3 linked regions of the Stegostoma tigrinum genome follow. The protein of the gene in region 3 purifies or fractionates together with the protein of the main gene of each other region. This does not show direct contact. Links are inferred from orthologs where the notes say so. Each region holds a gene or a part of one and is shown on either strand. Other genes may lie near its edges.

What was found.
Region 1: the proteins of wrap73 (region 3) and obi1 purify together in Homo sapiens (affinity purification with mass spectrometry; 3 studies listed by BioGRID and IntAct, counting the BioPlex papers as one, with this or other methods). This does not show direct contact. The link is inferred for Stegostoma tigrinum from reciprocal best matches to the Homo sapiens genes WRAP73 and OBI1.
Region 2: the proteins of wrap73 (region 3) and ssx2ipa purify together in Homo sapiens (co-immunoprecipitation; 4 studies listed by BioGRID and IntAct, counting the BioPlex papers as one, with this or other methods). This does not show direct contact. The link is inferred for Stegostoma tigrinum from reciprocal best matches to the Homo sapiens genes WRAP73 and SSX2IP.

The regions. Positions count from the first base shown.
Region 1 is NC_081359.1:29,298,699-29,306,880, forward strand, and holds the start of obi1 (ORC ubiquitin ligase 1), read right to left. Parts: upstream 3,400-8,182; 5' UTR 3,323-3,399; coding exon 3,212-3,322; intron 92-3,211; coding exon 1-91. UniProt on the Homo sapiens protein: E3 ubiquitin ligase essential for DNA replication origin activation during S phase.
Region 2 is NC_081361.1:98,998,298-99,005,974, forward strand, and holds the start of ssx2ipa (synovial sarcoma, X breakpoint 2 interacting protein a), read right to left. Parts: upstream 3,400-7,677; 5' UTR 3,297-3,399; coding exon 3,233-3,296; exon of another isoform or gene 3,069-3,232; intron 1-3,068. UniProt on the Homo sapiens protein: Belongs to an adhesion system, which plays a role in the organization of homotypic, interneuronal and heterotypic cell-cell adherens junctions (AJs).
Region 3 is NC_081381.1:22,370,945-22,378,371, reverse strand, and holds the start of wrap73 (WD repeat-containing protein WRAP73), read left to right. Parts: upstream 1-4,287; 5' UTR 4,288-4,547; coding exon 4,548-4,616; intron 4,617-7,427.

The sequences.
Region 1 (8,182 bases), on a different chromosome or scaffold from region 3:
AGGTTGGGCACTGGGTACTGTTTTTCAGCCAAGACTGCATACACATGAAACAGAAAACATGGTTGTTCGAACAGATGACTGGTTGACGAACCTAAAGCGTTTGCAAAACGAGTATTAATTGAAGTTAACACATTCACACAACTGAGTTGTGTTAAACAAACCATATCACATCTGATATTTAAGTCTGCTAACAGTGTCATGATAGGAACGTAGAAAATAGAAGTAAGCTATTGGCCCTTTGAAACTTCTCTGCCATTCAATATGATCACAGCTATTCATCTAACTCAGTACCCTGTTCCTATTTTCTCCCCTCCCCTTTGATCACTTTAGCCCTAAGAACTACATCTAATTCCTTCTTGAAAACATTCAATGTTTTGGCCTCTGCTGCTTTCTGTTGCAGAAAATTCCACAGGCTCCCTAACCTCTAGGTGAAGAAATTTCTCTCTAAGTCCTAAATGGCCTACCTTGTATCCTTAGACTGTGACCTCCTCATTCTGGACTCAACAGTCATTGGGAACATCTTTCCTGCATTTAGCTTGTCTATTCCTGTTAGAATTTTATAGATTTCTATAAGATAAAATGATGAACTGGTGAGAGTTATAACTCCAAAAACAAACTGCAACTACTTACAAAGCAACATCCAGAAAGTCATAATACTGTAATCAAGAGATTGACATTACCTCTGCTCACGTGTAACCAGTAAGTAAACTTCTCAAACTTTTCGTCATAATGATAGAAATTAAAGTTGATCACAGAGCTGATTTGTGTCTTGCTCGAGCAAAGTTCTTGTATTCCAGTCCCAGTCCAAACTCGAGCAAATAACCTAGGTCAGCACTTCAATGTATTAAAACTCTGCGCTGTGGAGGGGATGACCTTGGGATGCAATTTAAGCAGAGGTCCCAGGTGCTCTCTCAGTGAATATAAACTGATTTTCTGACTCTGGCCACTATTCACTCCTATGATGATACTTAAATCAAACTATCTGGTCACTATATCATTGATGGTTGTGAAAGCTAACTTTGTGCAAATTGACCCCTGTGTTTCCTACATTACAATGATCACATTTCAACATTGTCACATTGGAGGTAAAATGGCAAAGAGGTCATGAGACTGATAAAGGTTGATAGATGCAAGTATTTATTTTTGAACTTTTTTTGTACTCACGCAAATAGTCTTCAATAAGCACAAAAGAGCAATATCTTGCAAGTACATTCAAAATAATGTGAGGCTGGATGAACACAGCAGGCCCAGCAGCATCTCAGGAGCACAAAAGCTGATGTTTCGGGCTTTGACCCTTCATCAGAGAGGGGGATGGGGAGAAAGATCTGGAATAAATAGGGAGAGAGGGGGAGGTGGACCGAAGATGGAGAGAAAAGAAGATAGGTGGAGAGGTAGGGAGGGGATAGGTCAGTCCAGGGAAGATGGACAGGTCAAGGAGGTGGGATGAGGTTAGTAGGTAGGAGATGGAGGTGCGGCTTGGGGTGGGAGGAAGGGATGGGTGAGAGGAAGAACAGGTTAGGGAGGCAGACACAGGTTGGACTGGTTTTGGGATGCAGTGGGTGGAGGTGAAGAGCTGGGCTGGTTGTGTGGTGCAGTGGGGGGAGGGGACGAACTGGGCTGGTTTTGGGACGCAGTGGGGGTAGGGGAGATTTTGAAGCTGGTGAAGTCCACATTGATACCATTGGGCTGCAGGGTTCCCAAGCGGAATATGAGTTGCTGTTCCTGCAACTTTCGGGTGGCATCATTGTGGCACTGCAGGAGGCCCATGATGGACATGTCATCTAAAGAATGGGAGGGGGAGTGGAAATGGTTCGCGACTGGGAGGTGCAGTTGTTTACTGCGAACCGAGCGGAGGTGTTCTGCAAAGCGGTCCCCAAGCCTCTGCTTGGTTTCCCCAATGTAGAGGAAGCCACACTGTGTACAATGGATACAGTATACCACACTGGCAGATGTGCAGTTGAACCTCTGCTTAATATGGAAAGTCATCTTGGGGCCTGGGATAGGGGTGAGGGAGGAGGTGTGGGGGCCAGTGTAGCATTTCCTGCGGTTGCAGGGGAAGGTGCCGGGTGTGGTGGGGTTGGAGGGCAGTGTGGAGCAAACAAGAGAGTCACGGAGAGAGTGGTCTCTCCGGAAAGCAGACAGGGGTGGGGATGGAAAAATGTCTCGGGTGGTGGGGTCGGATTGTAGATGGCGGAAGTGTCGGAGGATGATGCGTTGTATCCAGAGGTTGGTGGTGTGGTGTGTGAGAACGAGGGGGATCCTCTTAGGGCGGTTGTGGCGGGGGCGGGGTGTGAGGAATGTGTTGCGGGAAATGCGGGAGACGCGGTCAAGGGCGTTCTCGACCACTGTGGGGGAAAGCTGCGGTCCTTGAAGAACTTGGACATCTGGGATGTGCGGGAGTGGAATGCCTCATCATGGGAGCAGATGCGGAGGCGGAGGAATTGGGAATAGGGGATGGAATTTTTGCAGGAGGGTGGCCTACGGAACCGGATCATCCCCATTGGGCTACAATCAAGATCCTTTCTGTTTGCTGTCACACATGGCTACGCCACGATTAGAGTTGACAGGGAAATAGTACATACTGGAAATAAAACTACTTTCTTCATTGTGGAATGGTTTGAAAGTGACTTCGAGTTATGTATGGCAAATGTCGAGTCGAATTAAAAATATACAAAATGCTTTAAAAATTACTGGGGGAAAAAAGCACAACGTAACAGTTTCTGGAAGTGTTCATTGACATGAATTTTCTGACAGAGTTGTTCAAGGATCCGGTTGCCATTCAACAACACGTTTTGACCAAACGACAAAATAATGCGGAAGTGATAATTTAAACCTGAAAAAGAGAGTGTCCACCGATTTCCGTTCCTTTCCTTTCTGAATTTTACAGCAGCGCACAAAGGTTCACAAAGTTTGCAACGATTTAAAGAAATGAACTGGGTTCTTAAAACAAAGAGTAAAACAAAAGTTTCCGGTTTCTCGTCCCAATTTTCGACACCATTAATTTTCTAAGCTGCAATCAGCAGGGGACGGGGATGGTGGATTCACTTCGAAAAGAAATATATGTTTTGTTTATTAAAAAAACACTGCAATGGAAAAAGAGAGAAAACATGCATCTTTTCCCGACTGGAGCGGTTGCAATACAGGAAGAGCCTCTCCGCCTCCTTGCACTCTTTACACCACCTCCCCCCACACCCCCGCGGCCGTACAGTACCTTCCCCAAGCAGATCTGACATGAGATGGGCAGGGTGAGGCTCAGTGTAACATTCTGAATGTTCTGTAGCGCTGGTTTCTGCATTGTCTCTGGAATCCCGGCCCGGAGCATGCGACCCAGCAAAACGGGGGGCCCCCGCCCCCAGGACAACCTTCCAACTCTCACTTGCGCTCGCGCCAATCTTGGCTCCGCCCTGTCAACCCAGTTTGCTACAGTAAAATACTGTCTTTCCTGCAACTTCCCCCTTTTCTGTAACCCGAGGCAGGCTAACTAGGTTGGAGTGCGTCCGAAACAAAAATGTATGAACTCAACTTTAAACACTGGCTGTGCTGCAGAAATCCCTCCAGAGAATGACAACAGCAAAGATAGGCTGCAAGCTGTATGTAGAGAAAATAAATTGCAATTGCTATTCGAGAATCATAAGGCCAATTTCACTAATGTAGACCAATATCACAGGTCCCCTTCATCAGAAATTAATTTTATTATCGCGATATTGGTTTATTTTAGCTCAAGAAGTTAACAAAGTGGAAAAATAAGGTACAGGGCTGGAGTACTGTATTCAGCTCTGAAATTGGCCTTCAGGCTGCAGAGCACGTAAACTGAACTGATAATAGGGCTAAAATGTTTAAATTAGGACAGATTCTGTACACTATGCCTTTGTTACTTTGAATTTAGAAAATTAAGGCTGAACTAATTGAGCTGTTTAAGATGATTAAAGAAACTGATTTCCTCTGATAGGTTAGTCAAAACATGAGGCATGACTTTATTTGTTCAAGGATGATGGGAACTGCAGATGCTGGAGAATCCAAGATAACAAAGTGTGAGGCTGGATGAACACAGCAGGCCAAGCAGCATCTTAGGACCCTAAGATGCTGCTTGGCGCTTGGCCTGCTGGGTTCATCAGCCCCACACTTTGTTATCTTTAACAGTTCAAGCTTGTCCATTCAACCCTGATCTAATGAAATGGTTCAACAGGCCTGTTCTTATCCAGAAATGAAAAAAAATCTTTTAAATAAGGGCAGAGCTATAGGGAAAAGATGGAAATCAAAGAGTAAGAAAGAACAAAGTGTGATATGGGTGGAAAGCAGGGATGTTACAAATAAAGCTGGTGCTTTATTTGATGGATTATAAATAATCATAAGATAGAAGAAGCCTGCCTGTCATGACTGTTTTGGCATTTTGAAAGTCAGTGTAGAATTTTCTCTGACCGCTTTCTGCGAGTTTAACAAACAACTGCAGTTGTAGTTCAGTGAGAGAAGAATTATATTAGGAAGGGGTTGGGAATGTGCAGTGAAAATATTGTTGGACTTCACCTCATTTGCACATTTGTGTAGTTGATAAGGATTAAATTATCAAATTGTACTGTACATCAGCTAAGAGATGAAAGTCTCCTTTATAATGATAAATTGGATATGTTGTAGAAAGGAAAATCTTCAAGTTGGCATTTTTGAAGTGTCAAATGCTGTGTTATAGCTGTAAGTAAGAACAAGGAATTATAGTTTGGATGCACTGGGCTCCAGTGAGTCTACCATCACAGTAAAGCAAACACTACAATGATGATTTGTGACAAGAATGATTTAGGGACTAAATGTTTTTACGGTTCTAAAGAAAGATACAAATTTAGATTAGATTGACTGTTGTGGGGATGCTGGGAGTACTCTTCACATTGGGCAAGAGATGCAAATAGCAGATATGAATTAATGTTATTGTGAGAAACTAAGTTGTTCTTTGCATAGGCTAAGTATTACAAATATTGGGTCAGATGTTTTAGTAGTGTTGATTCAGTGACACGTACTTTGGCTAAGTCAAGTCACAGAGTATTACAGCATGGAAAGAGGCAGATCAGCCCACTGAGTCCACGCCAGCCTTTAAGGATCTACTTTTCTAATCCTGTTTCTCAGTATTTGTTCCATAGCCCATTAAACTGTGGTGTTTCCAGTATTCATCTAAATACTTCTTAAATGTTGTAATGATTCATACGATGCTTTCATGCAATGAGTTCCTGATATCCACTACACTGTGTGGAAAAAGAATTCCATGAATCCTCTCTGAACTTCCTGCCCCCTGCCTTAAATCTGTGCCCCCTCCACTAAGGAGAGCTATTTCTAACATAACTATGTATGCTGCTCCTGATTTTGTAGTCCTCAATCAATTCCCCTCAGCCTTCTGTGCTCCTCGTAAAATAACCCCAGCCTGTGTAGTCTCTCTTTACAGCTGGAACACACCAGCCCAGTCAACCATCCTGGTGAATTTGTTCTGCATCATCTCCAGAGCAATCACATTTTTTCCAAAAAGTGGTCACCAGAACTACATGCAGTATTCCAGTTGTTTCTTAGCTAACTTCCCATACAGCTCCATCATTCCATCCCAGGTCTTGTATTTCACGCCTTGATTAATAAAGGTGAATACTCCGTATGTCTTCTAAATCACCCTTCTTAATCATTTGTCCAGTTGCCTTCTAAGATCTGTATACAGGTACTCCAAGGTCCCGCTGATCCTTCACACCACACAGGATCCAACCATTCATTATGTACATTCTTGCCTTGTCAGTCCTCCCAAAACACATCACTTCATGCCTTTTAGGCTTAAACTCTTTCTGCTTTTGTTTCACCTATCTGTTCAGCTTGTCTGTATTTTCCTGTAGCCCAACTCTTTCCCATTCACTATTTACCACGCTACCAATTTTAGTTCATCTACAAACTTACTGATAAAATCTCCTTTACTTCTGCCCAAATCATTAACATCCATTAAAAACAAAGGGCCCAGCATTGAACCTTGTAATACACCACTGGATACAGGCCTCCAGTCATAGAGCTATAGAGTCAGACAGCATGAAAGCAAACCATTTGGTCCAACACTTCCTTGCCGGCCATAATCCCAAACTAATCTAGCCACCAGCCTGTGCTTGGCCCATATCCCATCTAAACATTTCTTGTTCATGTACTTATCTAAATTTATTTTAAACGTTGTAACTGTACTACATCAGCCACTTCCTCTAAACTTTCATTCCACACATGAACCACTCTCTGTGTAAAAAAAATTACCCCTCATGTCATGTTTAAATCTTTCTCTTCTCACCTTAAAAGTATGTGCCCTTGTCTTGAAATCTCCCACCCTAGGGAAAAGACACCTGCCATTCACTTCATCTATACCCCTCCTGATTTATAAACATCTGTATGATCTCCTCTCAACCTCTCATCTGTGACCCTTGGTTATGAACTGTCACAGGGAGCATCCTTCCTGCATCTCCCAAAAAATATCTTCAACCAGCACCCTCTGCTTTCCACCACTAAGACAACTTGACGTCCAATTTGCCCTGGTGATAAATTCTGTGCCTCAGAACCTTTTCCAGAAGTTTCCTAACAATTGATGTTCAATCACTGATGTATGCATCAGCAGATTTATATGTTCCAAAGCTACCTGGAAAAAAAAGGTTTACAATTAGGGTTGTGAGACTGGTTATTTTTAAATAATTAGCAATATTCATTTAATAGAACAAGTGATGAATTAAAATATATTCTGTATAATTATGGATAGTTGTCAAATAGTTTCATAGAACACAGAACAGTGCAGGCCCTTCGGCCCACAATGTTGTGCTGACCTATTATCCTACTAAGATAAATCTACCCTGCATACCCTACATTTTACTATATTCCATGTGCCTATCCAAGAGTCGCTTAAAAGTCTGTAAAGTATCTGACTGTACTAGCACTGCTGGCAGCGCATTCCACACACCCACCACTCTCTGTGTAAAGAACCTACCTCTGACATCTCCACTGTACATTCCTCCAATCATCTTAAAATTATGGCCCCTCATAATAGTCGTTTCCGCCCTGGGAAAAAGTCTCTGGCTATCCACTCTATCTATGCCTTATCATCTTGTACACCTCTATCAAGTCACCTCTCATCCTTCTTCGCTCCAGTGAAAAAACCCCTAGCTCCCTCAACATTTTCTCGTAAGACCTGCCCTTCAGTCCAAGCAGCATCCTGGTAAATCTCCTCTGCACCCTCTCTAAAGCTCCCACATCCTTCCTATTGAACACAATATTCCAAATGTGGTCTAACCAGGGTTTTATAGAGCTGCAGCATAACCTCACGGCTCTTAAACTCAATTCCCCTGCCAATGAAAGACAACACACCATGCGCCTTCTTTACAACCGTATCAACTTGGGAAGCAAATCTGACGGACCTGTGGAAGTGGACCCCAAGATCTTTCTGTTCCTCCACACTGTCAAGAATCCTGTCATTAACCCTGTATTCTGCATTCAAATTTGACCTTCCAAACGAATCACTTTACACTTCTGGGTTGAATTCCATCTACCATTTCTTTGCCCAGCTCTGCATCCTTCCAATGTCCCATTGCAACCTACAACAGCCCTCCACGCCATCCACAACTCCACCAACCTTCTTGTCATCGGCAAACTTACTAATGCACCCTCCACTTCCTCATCCAAGTTATTTAAGAAGATCACAAAGAGCAGAGGTCCCACAACAAATCCCTGCGCAACACCACTGGTCACCAAGCATCAGGCTGGATACTTTCCATCTACTACCACCCTCTGTCTTCTATTGGACACCTGGTTTTGTGTCCAGACAACCAAATTTCCCTAAATCCCATGCCTCCTTACTTTCTGAATGAGCCTACCATGGAGAAACTTATCAAATGCCCTGCTAAAATCCATATACATCACATCCACTGCTCTGCCTTCATCAATATGTTTTGTCACAACCTCAAAAAATTTAGTAAGGCTTGTGAGGCATGAACTGCCCCTCACAAAGCCATGCTGACTATTTCTAATCAAATTGTACTTTCCCAAATAATCATAAATACTATCTCAGAATCCTCTCCAATAATTTGCCCACCACAGAAGTAAGACTGACTGGTCCTAATTCCCAGGATTATTGGTATTCCCTTTCTTGAACAAGGGAATGACATTTGCCAACCTCCAATCATCTTGTACTAATCGAGTA
Region 2 (7,677 bases), on a different chromosome or scaffold from region 3:
TGAATTCAAGTTACTCTTTCTGCTGTGACAGGTTTCGAACCGGAGTCTCTGGGTTAACAGTCCGGCGAGTGCCTCCTCTGGAGCTGACTGGCCTAAGAACTTTTGAACTTTCTGCCTCCATCTCTTGTTGCAAAATGTTTGCAATCTTCCAATCTACTGGAACTATCCTAAATCAACTGGGTTTTGGAAGATTAAAACAGACACTAACTTTCTCATTAAACCGCTTCCTTTAGGAATATAGGATGATGTTCAACAGGACTGGTCAGATGCAACTCCAACAACTTGCTAAGTAGTACTGCCCTGCTTGCAATTTTTTTTGGGAGTTCCTCCCTCCACTCCATTTCTGGATTTACAACTATTCCTGGGATGTCACTACTATCTTCTATAGCTAACACCAATGTAAACTACCCATTCAATTCATCCATCTCATTAATGCTCCAAACTCACTTTCCAGAGATCAATTCTTAGTCTGTTAACTCTTACTGTCTTTTATATTCCCACCTGGCTTCACTTATACTCCCTCTTTAATCTTTTAGCCGTTCTTTGCTGTAATGTACAGTGTGTCTAATCTTCTGCCTTGCCACCCAGCTTTTTCCTTTCGGGTTGATACTATTATTAACTGCTTTTAAGTTAGACATGGGCGACCAGTCCTCCATTTGGAATTTCTTTTTTGGAACTAATCTCGGTATTTTGAAATATATCTAATTTCTGTCACCGCATCCATTAACATATCCTTTATCTACCTACAGCACATGCAATACATGGTTCAAGAATGTAGCTCATCACCACTATCAAAGAATGGGCAAAAAAAAAGAAATTGATATCCACATCCCATAAGTGAGTTTAAAAAAAACAAGCTTGTCAGTTAATATCTACTTTTGTGTCTTAATCAACTTTGAAATAGTATTGGACACAGCCACCTCTTCAAAATAGGATATAAAATTCTGATTTTTACTGCTCCCGAGCGACAAGCGCACTCCAAATTAATCCCATCACATTGAACAACACTAGGTCTAGTATTGCCTGTCCTGAGGTTGGGTCCAGAACATGTCATTCTAAATAAAAAGAAAGAATTCCCTGCCAGAATGACTGCCAGACTACTCGGACCTCTTGGCATCAGGGTAGCCCACAAACCCACCAACACACTAAAACAGCAGCTAATGAACTTAAAAGACCCTGTACAGACAACAAAACGAACATCATCTACAAAATACCTTGCGAGAACTGTGACAAACACTACATTGGACAAACAGGCAGAAAGCTAACCATCAGGATACATGAACATCAACTAGCCACAAAAAGACATGACCCACTATCACTAGTATCCTTACATACAGATGAGGAAGGACACCACTTTGATTGGGACAACACATCCATCCTAGAACAAGCCAAACAGAGACACGCACGAGAATTCCTAGAAGCATGGCATTCCAACCAGAACTCCATCAACAAACGCATTGATTTGGAGCCCATCTACCATCCTCTGAGAAAAAGAACAGGAAATGACATCACCAACCCAAGGAAACCTAAACAGATAAATAGAAAGCAGGACATAACACCAGCGCTTCGTCGGAGGCTCACTGATGATGTTACCTAGAATGGTGACGAAACGTCTGAAAACGAACCTTCCAGCTCAGCGAGTGAACTCACACCCAGAACCTTAACGTGAGCTCCAAATCTTCTCAAAACTCGCTAAAGAATTCCCTGATTTACAAACAGTCGTATTTACAAATACAATCCTATGTGTTGTTACAATTTTGAAAACCCAACATATAAATATTCAAGCTTCAAAATCTTCCTTCCTGTTACCTCGTCCCAAAATCAGTCAAGCTTGTCCACACCTCCCTAACCCATCCTTCCTCCCACCTGAAGCCCCACCCCATCTCCTACCTACTAACTTCATCCCGCCCCTTTGACCTGTCCATCCTCCCTGGATCGACCTATCCCCTCCCTAACTCCCCACCTACATTCACCTTCACTGGCTCTAAGCCCACCTCTTTGACTTGTCCGTCTCCTCTCACCCTATCTTCTCCTTTATCCATCTCCGCCTCCCCCCTCTCCCTATTTATTTCAGAATCCCCTTCCCCCATTTCTGAAGAAGGATCTTGACCCAAAACAGCAAAAAAAAACTTTCCTGCTCGGTCTGCTGTGTTCATCCAGCTTCACACCTTATTATTTTTAATTAGGTATAGATGGGGAAAAAAATTCAAAGCAAAACGTTTAACTATGACTTCACCAAACAGGACAGAATTTGCTCATTTGTTGTAAGACCTTGTTTTTTTAAAAAAACCAATTAGGGAGGGATCTGACAGAGTATAAAGGTTTGAACAAATAGCGGAGTTAGACAACAGTGACAAGAAACTGAATTTTTCACAACTCAAAAATGCAGAACATAATTCTAAATGTAAGTATTTTTTCATCCAGTAATTTTCTGCACCACCCAAATGTATTTCAAAACTGGGCTACTGGCGTGCCAAGCATATAATTATGTAAACTGCACCAGCTACAATGGCTTGCTGTTTTTTTTTGCAGTTTCTAAATTTATTCGTGAAGTCGCACTGATTACAAAACCCCAGAATATTTAATTATAAGCTCGTTACCTCACTGGAGTTAGGTATAGCAACTGACAGCTAGACCTGTACTTAAAATACAGTACGACCAGCGAGAAGGTCCCTTTAAAAAAAAAGTTACGTTTCAATACGAATTCAATGTTTTTTTCAATCAAACTGGTTTATGGTAGTGTTCGTAGGCTCGAAGCTCTAATTCTTTTTTTATTTCCTTCTGCACTTTTCTCTCACTTGGTTGATTCTCAACTGCGTTTCTAATTTTTCTATAAATTCGCCGCATACGATCCGGAGTTCCAGGGTTACACCACTCCCGGGATTCTGCTGAATTCCCTATTGGGCATATTCGCTGTGGTCACGACCCGTCTTTTCGGTCTCAATCTACACAAACGTATCATCTAGGTATGAAAGCACTTGTTGCAATGAGAACCACACCTCCACCTCAAGCCCAGAAATTCGGAACACGGAAATACACAATAATTAAACGGCAAAAAAGTTCGTTACCTGTTTAAACAAGGCAATAATTCTCCAGTGAAGGGGCGGGGCGGGAAAGGAGGAAAGAAAAATGTTTCAATTTCACAGCCAGTTTTAACAATTTGCACATTGACTGACGATCAATACAGCGAGGAGAGCCAAAATATATACTGTTTTCTTAAACAAACAATAACCTTTTGCAGTGCTGGTGCCCCTGGATGAATGAGCGAGCAGCGTAACTTGCACAAGAAGTAACATCGCAGTGCCGCAGACCGGGCCCGGTACTGCGCAAGCGTCACGAGTTGCAGCCGGGCCCGGGTAAGCACATGCGCACTGGAACCCAGTGACGGTTGCGTGCGCGTCTCACTCGGAAACCATGGTAACCGGGCCTAGCCCAGGACCGTACTCAAATAACCGCCAACGGCGGCGACTGTTGTGGTTCGCCTCCCCGCCCCTTTCAACAACTGCCCTTACATCAGTCCGACATCTCTGGCCTCAGGCAGTTGGCTCCTCCTCATCGACTCCAGCGCCGGTGACTCTATCACCACATTGCGACTGCATTTGAAGTCATGCGAACGTTACAGTCTTTCCCTCCCTCTCTCACGGTTTTATTTGAAGCAGGTCGACGCCGGCGCCTTCATCCAAAGCGGAAGCCAATTGGTCAAGACCGGCAGTCGGCACGTCGAGGAGTAAACCCAACGATGATTGGCTTAGCTGGTGGTAGTCATCTGTTGGTGAGTTTTGAGAAGATTTGTAGCTCAGGTTGAGGTTCTACAGAGGTACTTAGAAAATCTTTTCTGAATGGTCTCATCCTAATTCTCAGACTATGTCCCCCATGTTCAACAATGCCCAACCAGGATCCCACCTTCCACCTCTGGAAAAACTAATGAACTCAACTTCTTCCCTGAAATTAAGGTAGTGAGTTTGCTCGCTGAGCTGGAAGGTTAGTTTTCAGACGTTTCGTCATCATTCTAGGTAACATCATCAGTGAGCCTCCGATGAAGCGCTGGTAGCCACCAGGATACATGAACATCAACTAGCCACAAAACGACATGGCCCACTATCACTCGTATCCTTACATACAGATAAGGAAGGACACCACTTTGATTGGGACAACACATCCATCCTAGGACAAGCCAAACAGAGACACGCACGAGAATTCCTAGAAGCATAGCATTCCAACCGGAACTCCATCAACAAACACATTGATTTGGAGCAAATCTACCATCCCCTGAGAAAAAGAATGGGAAATGACATCACCAACACAGGAAATGACATCACCAACCCAAGGAAACCTAACCAGATAAATAGAAAGTGGGACATAACACCAGCGCTTCGTCGGAGGCTCACTGATGATGTTACCTAGAATGGTGACGAAACGTCTGAAAACTAACCTTCCAGCTCAGCGAGCAAACTCACATCCAGTAGTCATCTGTCCCCGCGACTTTGCCGCTGGTCATGTGGTCTAGAGCTTGTGCCAGTTTTTGCCTAGCCTCAGGGCAGCATAGCGAGAATGCCAAACCGAAGGGAACAGCAATTTCCGTTGCATGTTTCACTCCGTTAATAACTGAGATTAAATGTTACGCTCACTACCTTAATTTCAGGGAAGAAGTTGGGTTCATTAGTTTTTCCAGAGGTGGAAGGTGGGATCCTGGTTGGGCATTGTTGAACATGGGGTGCATAGTCTGAGAATTAGGATGAGACCATTCAGAAAAGATTTTCTAAGTACCTCTGTAATAGATGTTAGGAACTATTTGTAAGATTTTACATTTGTTGCTAAGAAAGTTTAGGTTCCCTTGATTAATTCCAGCGATGAACACAAATGCAGAAGTTGCTGGGAAAGCTCAGCAGGTCTGGCAGCATCTGTGAAGAAAATAATCAGAGTTAATGTCCCTTTCTCACGACTGAATCCTAACTTATTCTTCCTTCACAGATACTGTCAGACCTGGTGAGCTTTTCCCAGCAACGTCTGTTTTTGTTCCTGATTTACAGCATCCACAGTTTGTTTGGTTTTTATCCAGCGATTAAAAAGCTTGCTTTAAGAGGAGAATTTGAGAGGTTTCAGCCTTTATGGCTTAGAGCTGAGGGGAATGAGAGAAGATCCATTTTTAGGACATAAGATGCTTAAGGAAATTGACAAAGTATACGTAGACAGGATGTTTCCCCTTGTGGGACAATAAAGAACAAAGGGTTTCAGGGATAGTAGGAACTGCAGATGTTGGAGAATCTGAGATAATAAGGCGTAGAGCTGGACGAACACAGGTCAAACCGCATCAGAGGAGCAGGAAAGCTGACATTTCGGGCCTAGACCCTTCTTCAGAAAATGAAGAAGTGCCTAGGCCTGAAATGTCAGCTTTCCTGCTCCTCTGATGTTGCTTGGCCTGCTGTGTTCATCCAGCTCTACACCTTGTTATCGTAGAACAAAGGGTCACGGTTTTAGGATAAGGTAAGGTATATTTAAACAGAGATGAGAAGAAATTACTTCTCTCAAAGAGTCATGAATCTGTGGAATTCAGTACAGCAGGTTGCTGAGAAACTGAGCAAATAAGACCATAAGACATAGGTGTGGAATTAGGCCATTTGGCCCCTCAAGTCTGCTGTGCCATTCAATCATGGCTGATAAGTTCCTCAACCCCATTCTCCAGCTTTCTTCCAACAACCCTTGATCCCTTTGATAATCAATAACCTATCTATCCCAGTCTTAAATGTACTCAATGACCTGGCGTCCACGGCCTTTTGTGGCAGGGAATTCCATAAATTCACCACTCCTTGGCTGAAGAAGTTTCTCCTTATCTCCATTCTAAAAGGCCTTCTCTTTACTCTAAGGCTGTGCCCTCGGGTCCTACCAATGGAAACATCTTCCCAACATCCAGTTTGTCCAGGTCATTCAGTATTTTGAAAGTTTCAATTAGACTCCCCCTCATCCTTCTAAACTCCAGTGAGTATAGCCCCAGAGTCCTCAAATGTTCCTCATATGTTAAGCTTTCCATTCCTGGGACCATTCTCAGTAACCTCCTCTGAACCCTGTCCACGGCCAGTACATCCTTCCTGAGACATGAGGCCCAAAACTGCATGCAATACTCCAAATGTGGTCTGCCCAGAGCCTTATAAAGCTTTGGTAGTGCATCCCTGCTTTTATATTCAAGTCCTCTCAAAATAAATGCCAACATTGCATTTGCGTTCCTGCTACTGACTCAACCTGCAAGTTTACCTTGCGAGAACACCGGACTAGAACTCCCAAGTCTTTTTGCACTTCAGACTTCTGAATTTTCTCCCCATTTAGGAAATAGTACATGCTTTTGTTCTTCTTACCAAAGTGCATGATCTCAGACTTTCCCACATTGTACTCCATCTGGCAGTTCTTTTCCCACTCTTGACCTGTCCAAGTCTTCCTGCAGCCTCGCCACCTCCTCAGTACTACCTGTCCCTTCACCTATCTTTGTATTGTGTGCAAACGTAGCCAGAATGCCCGCAGTTCCTTCATCTAGATCATTAATGTACAAAGTGAAGAGTTATGGTCCCAACACCAAGCCTTGTGGAACTCCACTCATCACCATTGCCATCCTGAGAAAGACCCCTTTATCCCTACTCTCTGCTTTCTGCCAGACTGCCAATCTTCTATCCATGTTAGCATGCTGCCTCTAACACTGTGGGCCCTTATCTGACTCAGCAGTCTCCTGTGTAGCACCTTATCAAAAGGCATTCTTGAAGCCCAGGTAGATAACATCCATTGGCTCTCCTTGCTCTACCCTGCTCGTTACTTCCTTAAGGAATTCTAGCAGATTTGTCAGGCATGACCTCCCCATGATGAAATCATTCTGACTATGTCCTACTTTACCGTACACTTACAAATATTCAGAAATCTCATCCTTCACAACGGACTCCAAAATCTTGCCCGCGACCAAGGTTAGGCTAATTGGCCTGGATTTTCCATCTTTTGCCTTACTCCCTTCTTAAACAGGGATGTCACGTTAGTGATTTTCCAGTTCTCTAAAACCCTCCCTGACTCTAGTGATTCCTGAAAATTCACCACTAACGCTTCCACTATCTCCTTGAGAACTCTGGGGTACAGCCCATCTGGTCCAGGGAACTTGTCCATCTTCAGGCCAATCAGTTTTAGTAGCATCTTTTCCATGGTGATGGCCACCACACCCAGCTCTGCCCCGACTCTCTTGAATTTTTGAGATATTACTTGTGACTTCCACCATGGAGACTGACACAAAGTAATTATTCAGTTCCTGAGACAGTTCCTTGAGGAAGCAGGTAGATTCTTAATTAGTTCCAGGTTATAGGGAGCGGTGGTGTTGGGTCCAAGCTATGATCAGCCATGATTGTTTTAAAGGACAGAGCAGGCTCAAGAAGTTGAGTTGCCCACTCCTGCTTCTAGTTCTTAGGACTAGTAGAGTCCAATTCTTAACAAATCTTCACTCTGTCCTCATGCAGTTGTCCTTGCATCTGGACCTAGATTGCCTACACTGATTCCGAACCCTGAGTGATACTTCCTGAAGTGAGAAGAATTTTGCTACATGGGAAGGGACTCGTCAGCCCGTGCAACATCTGTACTGCTTGTTAACAAAACCTTTCACTGTACTCTGGTACATGTGACAATAAATCAATCAATCAAGTACCTATCTACTCT
Region 3 (7,427 bases):
CAAATAGAATGGATGAAGTAGTGAGGAGCCAAGCTTGGAATGATCCAAAGGCCAGTTGGATTTGCAATGTAAGTATTTTTGAATGATTCTAGAAAGCAAAACAGGAATAGGTCAAACGGTACTCAGCATAATTTAACATCATCAGAATAACTAATCTGGTCATTTATCATATTGTTTTTTTGTGGGCACTGCTGTGTACATTCCAGCTGCAGTCTTGCCCTACATTGCAATAGTAATAGCACTTAATTGGCTGTAAATGTGCTATGAGGCATAGAATTGTGAAAGATACTGTACTGTAAATTAATTATTTTCCAGCATTTGCCGTCACTTTGATTTTTAATAATTATTTCCTTCTTACTCACAAGCTAACTTTCCTGCTCATAAACATATGCACCCAACAAGTACCAACTGTCAGGAACATGCAAAAAATCCTATTTCTGCCAATATTTCCAAGTGCAAATTTAAAACTACAAAGCGAAAGTTTACAGCAGCATTAAGTGGAAAGAAAGTAAACCAATTCATGGCTGTGACAGTTGACATCTCCTTTAAGGGATTTTAACTTCAAAGGGAAATGATCTTCATGAAAAATGAACTTGCAAACTCATTTTCTACTATTGGAGAAGCAATGAGGCAAGATTCGCCATTATAATTTTGATCCTAACATGCATTGTGCTAAAGTATTTGCAAAAAAGGGCAACGCAGATACTTTTTAATGAAATTAGCTGCATTTTAAAAAAGCATGAACACTCAGACTGCAATTATTGGAGAAAGATATTAACTGGAGATGTGGATTAATTGCAATAACGTTTCATATTTAGCAATAGTATATATTTCATTTGTCACTGCCTTATTGCTTTCATTCGCTTATTGCTTCCATACCATGTATTAATCATCCCTGTTATGCAAGGTAAACTTATTCTTATGGAAAAGAAACAAGAAAAACAATGTCCTATATAATGCACAATAATTGGAATCATGAGCTTGCTTAGACTAGATAACCTTTTAAAAATATACATATGACATTCTAATAGGATTCACCTACTCTTGACATTAAAAAGGAATGAAATTGTTCTCTAGTATCTTCTGAAATTTAGTTATTTTTGCAACAATGATTGATCTTGATGTACTTCTGATACATATCCTCGCAAAATGCTTAACATCAATAATCACACTGTATTGACGTAGTCTAGATTCAGAGCACCACATTTCTAAATTCACAGGAAACGGCCTCAATATATTTCGGGGGAAGATTTGCAGTTTAATGTATTAAGATTTTAAACTATAATTTGTGAACGGAAGATCAAATATCGCCAAAAAAAATCAACTGAAGTGCGCTGCTCAGACTTGGACATTACAGCGTATTTAAAACGTTAACAAATAATCGGCAATTAATAATCAATAAGCAATGATTATTTAATCAGATGTTCTCTGCGGTTGAAGCAAACTAAACAAAATATACTGCGTAATTCTGGATCGAACTAAAGCCAAAATTATACAAACTCTCGAACGGCTTTAACCATTGTACATCGACTACAAGGAAGTGAAAAACGGTTTTGCTGCCGTCATCAAATATATATTGTAAAAATGTTTCACTCCACATCGGCGGGAATAATTTAAACATAAATAGTATCAAAATGCTGAATGTTATCAAGTAACCTGAAGAATCAGAATGAAATACAATGATAAGCATTTAAGAGAAATCGAGGCAACTTTCAAAGTTTATAAATACTACAGGCTGTAATAATGCTGCTTTTGAAAAACTGGAAAAGGCAAAGTGGAATATTTCATCCGGATGTATCAACATCTGCTGTAGACACCGAGTGCTAAAATTTCTCTTCCTCACCTGGAGTTAGATAAGTTGTTGAGGTCGCCGTGCGAATGAAATTCAAGCCACCGCTTTACTCCCTGCTGCTCACAGGCGAAGTGCGTGTTGCCCGGACTTCAACTTACCAACATTGTCCGATTCCAAACGTTGTAGAGAAATCAGAGCAGGCGTCTCCGTCGCTTCAGCAACCGGAGAGTGCATTGGAGATGGCTTAATGTTACCTGGGCTGGAGAAAGAGAGGGTAGAGACTGACAGCTCCGCCTGGCTGGGGGCCAGAGGCAGAGTCTCTGACTGTTTATATATATAAAGACTGATTCATTCAGAGACAAGAAAGAGAGTGGGAGAGTACCGCCTGCCAAAGGCACAACCGCCACTCCGGCTTCTCCAGGCGGGAAGAAAATACAATCAACAGGGGAGAGAAAAAGCTTAGAAAAGTAAACAACAGTCGGGGACAGGGCAATGACAAAAAAAGACTTTCAATGCGGACTTTTCTTCCCCCGAATCACAAGACAAAATAATGCAGATAAGAAACAATGCAGATCCAAATGGAATTTACAAAACCAAATGAGGAAGCATTTTATAATGTGAAATATGAATCCATCCAAGCTCTCGGCGGATTTTTAAAATCCTAGGGCAAGTTTGCAAAATAGAAGCAAACAAGCTATATTTGCGTTTACGCAGCATTATTTATCTATAATGTCTCCAAGTGCTTCACAAAATGGGTTTCTTTCGAATTGCAGCGACTGTTCTAATATAGACAAACGGAGGGCAAGCATGATGTGTCGAAAAACTCGAAGAGCGGAAATATGTTAATAACTTATCGATGTATTTTAGTGCAGTTGGTTATTGTGGTTGGAGATGAATATTGGACGGGATTTCTCTTAGCCAATCATGTCAATAAATCTAAAACTTATGTTAAAATAGAACAAGGACCTCGGTGAAATGGTTCATGTGAAGTACTGTCACCTCGACAAGTTAGCACCACCTCAACAGTTGGTCTCGCTAATAGACAAATCCTGGTCAGCAACTTAGTAAAGCAAACACAAATGTACAGATCGAGAAACGTTGAAATTTTAAGATAGCAACAGAAAACTCTCCAATAAAACGTGCAAACGAAGACTGTAAGACAAATGTCAGGAAAATAATTACATATTGGTCTTGTATAAAGTGCACACTTCAGACCAGCGTGACAGTTAGCTCCGAGGAAGTCATTTTAGACTCGAAACGTTAAATCTGCACAAATGCTGTCAGACATGTTGACTTTCTCCAGCACTTTGTTTTTATTTCATATCTTCCAGCATCCGCAATATTTTGCTTTTATGTTAGCTGTATTTACATGTATCGAAACTACCTGTCACGATGTAAATTTTTCAAATTTTCATGGTTTATGGCTGCCATTTTTTTCACCTGGCCTCCTAACACAGTACAAAGGCCTCCAGGTTTCCTGTGGGCCACATTTCAACAATACCCCTTCTCTATTAGGAAAAGTCTCATAGTTTCTTTTGTCGTTTGTACAACAATGCATTTATTGACCAAGCCCCTCAAACTGCCCCAAGAAAATGGTGGTTCTTCCAACTACTATTAGTTCTAGCTGTAACGAATTCCCACATGATGTTAGGCTGGGGATTCCATGATTTGGATCTAATAGTAATAAAGGAAGTAATATGCATTCAACTCTTTAACTAACAACATTTAGTCTGGATAAAAAAAATATGTTGATGGGAAGTGAGCACTCTGAACAAGACTTATATGAAGCTAATATGACACGTGGCTTAAAAATAAATTCATAGGGATAGCCATTCTAAGTTATTATTACTTCTCTGGGTGAGAAAACTCGTGGGCCATTGAAATAAACCGGGTAATTTACTGAAATTCATACAAGAGGTACAATCTGCAGGGCCAAATTATTCGCACAAATGTTTAAATAAAATCCTTTCGTCATAACATCATGGCTTGTGCGCTAAAATATATTTCACTCTGGAAATTTAGATTTTCTCTTTTGTTAAAGTTAATTTTTCATCTCGTTTGACAACTTTATAATTTGGCATGAATTAGATTTTTAAAAAATTAGGCTAAACAAATATTAAGGATACATTACTGTGCAAATATTGAGGATACTTTGTTGTAAAGACACAATTTTGTATAATTATATGAAGCCAAATTTGACAAGATAAAATAGCGAATTTTGAGTCACTGACTCTGATCCTCTATTGAGCAGGAAAATAATAGATACTGCAGGATGTTATTGTATTCGATCAATTTGCTATGACCACTTTTCTTCATTCCCTACCTTTGCTGAAGGAACCTCATTCCCAAATATGACAATCTCAGAAAACGGTTGATCCCGCACACCCGCCAATCATTATAAACTACATCTCCCAGAATGCTGCAGCGGCCGCTTTTTCGTTGTACCCAGATTCCATTGGTGGATATCGTTGTCAATCAAAGCGGTAACTATGTATTTCCTGTTATTTGGCTGTCTTCAGATCCCTTCAGTTGACGGTTCTCTGGAATTTGAAAATTGTTGTAGAGTTAGACGGTGACGTGGATGGTTCGGTCTAATCCAACCAAACGTGACAAGGTGAAGGAGCCGCACAGGTCGAGGACGGAGTGAGGAGGAGCCTTGTTGTGGACAGGCCGAGGACGGAGTGAGGAGGAGCCTTGTTGTGGACAGGCCGAGGACGGAGTGAGGAGGGGACCTCGTTGTGGACAGGCCGTGGTGATGAATTTCTCCGAACTGTTCAAACAGTCGAATCAACTGTGCAGGCTGTCGCCTGACGGGAAATATTCTGTAAGTGTGTGATTTAATCTTAATAGATTCGATAGGGTACACGCAGGAGAAATATTCCTGTTGACCGGGGGTCAGAACCAGGTGATGTAGCCTAACGGCAGGCCGAAAATGAGACATTTCTTCATCCGGAGACTGGTGAACTTGTGGAGTGCTCTCCAACTCGTCCACGCTGAGTTTCCCAACATAAATTAATCCCACTTGCCTGCATTTGGTTTATATCCCACTAAAGCTTTCCTATTCGTGTATCGATCCAAATATCTTCTAAATGTTCTCACTGTACTTGGATCTACCACTGCCTCTGGTAGTTCATTCCACATTCCAACCGCTCTATATGTGGAAACAGTTGGCTTTCAGGTCCCTTTTAAATCTTTTTCCTCCCACTTTTAAAATATGCCCCCCCCCTGCAACCTAGAGAAAAGAGCTTTCCTACTTGCCTTATCTGTGCTCCCTCATGATTTTATAAACCTCTATAATGTCACCCCTCAACCTCCAATGCTTGAGTTTCTTTGTAACTCAAACTGGTCAGTCCTGGTAAATCTTTTGTAAACCCTCTCCAATTTTACAATTATAGCCTATAGCAGGGTGACCAGAACTGTCCACTACATCAAAAGTGCCCTTAACCAACTTCCTGTACAACCTTAATATGACATCCCAACTCCCATACTCAGTTGTCTGAGCAGTGAAGGTAAGTGGGCTAAAAGCTGCCACGACTACCCAGTCTACCGGTGATGCAATTTCCAAAGAACTATGTGCCTGAACCCTAGAGCTCTCTGTTCAACAGTGCTATCCAGGGCCTTAACAATAACTGTGTAAGTCCTGCCCTTGTTTATCTTACAAAAGCGCAATAACCTCTCATTTATCCAAATTAAACTCTATTTGCCTGTCAGCCCATTGACCCAGCTGAAGACGGAGTTAGATATATTTTGGGGCTAAAGGGATCAAAGGCTTTTGGGAGAAAGCAGGAGCAGGGTACTGAGTTGGATAATTGTGTTGAATGGCAGAGCAAGCTCGAAGGGCTGAATAGTCAATTTCTGCTCCTATTTTCCATGTTTCTATCAAGTCAGTAACTAGTTGTTGATAGCTGACCACTTTGCTTCCCTTTTGTATCCTTATTGTCTGTTTTCTTCCAGTTTGGCCCATGTAATGTCTCTCTCAGTCCTTGCGTAGTATTTTGTTTATTACATTAGTTTTATTGGTTGTGGGTATGGGATCCTTTACTTTTGTCTGTTGCTGTCGCAGGGCAGTTGTTCGTTTGTGGGCTACCCCGATACCTAGGGATCTGAGTAATTTTGTGGTCATCTCTGATATGTCTCTGATGTATGGTTGGGTGACTAGTGTGTCTGTCTATGTTATGTGTTGTTGTGGTCTGTTGCAGGTAACGGCAGATTGTGCTTTTTGGTTATCCATTCCTTTTTTAAAAACTGTATAAGTGCTGCTGTTCTGCATTGTGCAATTCCGGATTGCACCATTACCTCCTAGGAAGGGCTATTGTTCTCTTCTATTTTTGTGAATTTTATTTCAGTGATGTTGTTGTTTATGTGCCGGTGGGTTTCTTCTAGTCTTGTGCATATGATAATCACGAAGGTGTCATCTACATAGCGGACCCAGATTTGCGTTGTATAATGGGGAGCCTTGTCCATTCTAACCTTTGCATTATCACTTCTGCGATCAGTTCCCCAATCTCAATGTAGATGACATGCAGGGACTAAGGAACATGGGCCAAACTGAAATTAAGGATACACGAACACCAACTACCCACCAAGAGACATGACCAATTCTCACTGATCTCAAAACACACAGACAAAGGAGGACACAAATTCTACTGGGACAACACCTCCATAATAGCACAAGTCGGACAGAAACATGTTTGGGAATTCCTGGAGGCCTGGCATTCCAACTAGAACTCCATCAACAAACATTTTGAACTGAACCCCATATACAAACTACTGAAAAACAGAGCTGGAAGTAATGCCAACCACCCCAGCAAACCAAGGTATATAAATGTCAACAAGCTTGACAGAACACCAATGCTTCATTGGAGGCACACTGACAGTGTTACCTAGCAAGGTAAAATGCCGGAGGAATCCGGCTTTGAATGCATAGGGGAAAGTACAAAATATCAAATTGAAGAGCAAGAGTAGGTCATCTGACTGTTTTGATCTCGAAGTTGAATCCAGAAGGCAGAAAAGAGCACCTCATTTGCGGATTAGGCATTTTGAAATCATCTGACTCCAACATTGAGTGAGTTCAATAATTTGAGACCATTAATTCCTGTCCTCTATTTTATTATGTTTCCCACAACCCAGTGGCAATCTTTCATGACATGGCTTTTGGTCAGAGCTGATCTTTATTCTGCTATTAAACAGGCTCAGAAAACACAGACCCCAGTGCTGCTCCTATCCTGGGACTCTGATCTGAGTGCAGTAAAGCCGTGGGCACCAGTTATTGGCCCTGATATTGGGATCTGTTCCAGACCCATGCTTTGATCTGTCTTTTGGTTTCTCAACTCCATTATTCTCTAACCCTTTTGTGACCTTATCCTTCCGTTTCACTTGCTTGCTGTCTCCCCACCGAGCCCCCCTCCTTTTCAACAGTATAAATTCTGTCACATTTCCACTACTTCTCTTCAGTTTTGAAGAAAAATTGAAACGGATTTTAAATGTTAAGCCTGTTTCTCTTTCCACAGATGCTGCCAGACCTCCTGAGTTTCTCCTGCACTTTGTATATTTTAACATGGGTTTTTAAAAAAATGTTATCTCATTGAAGTTTGTGAAACCTTACATAACATTGATACCAAGAAGCATATGGAAC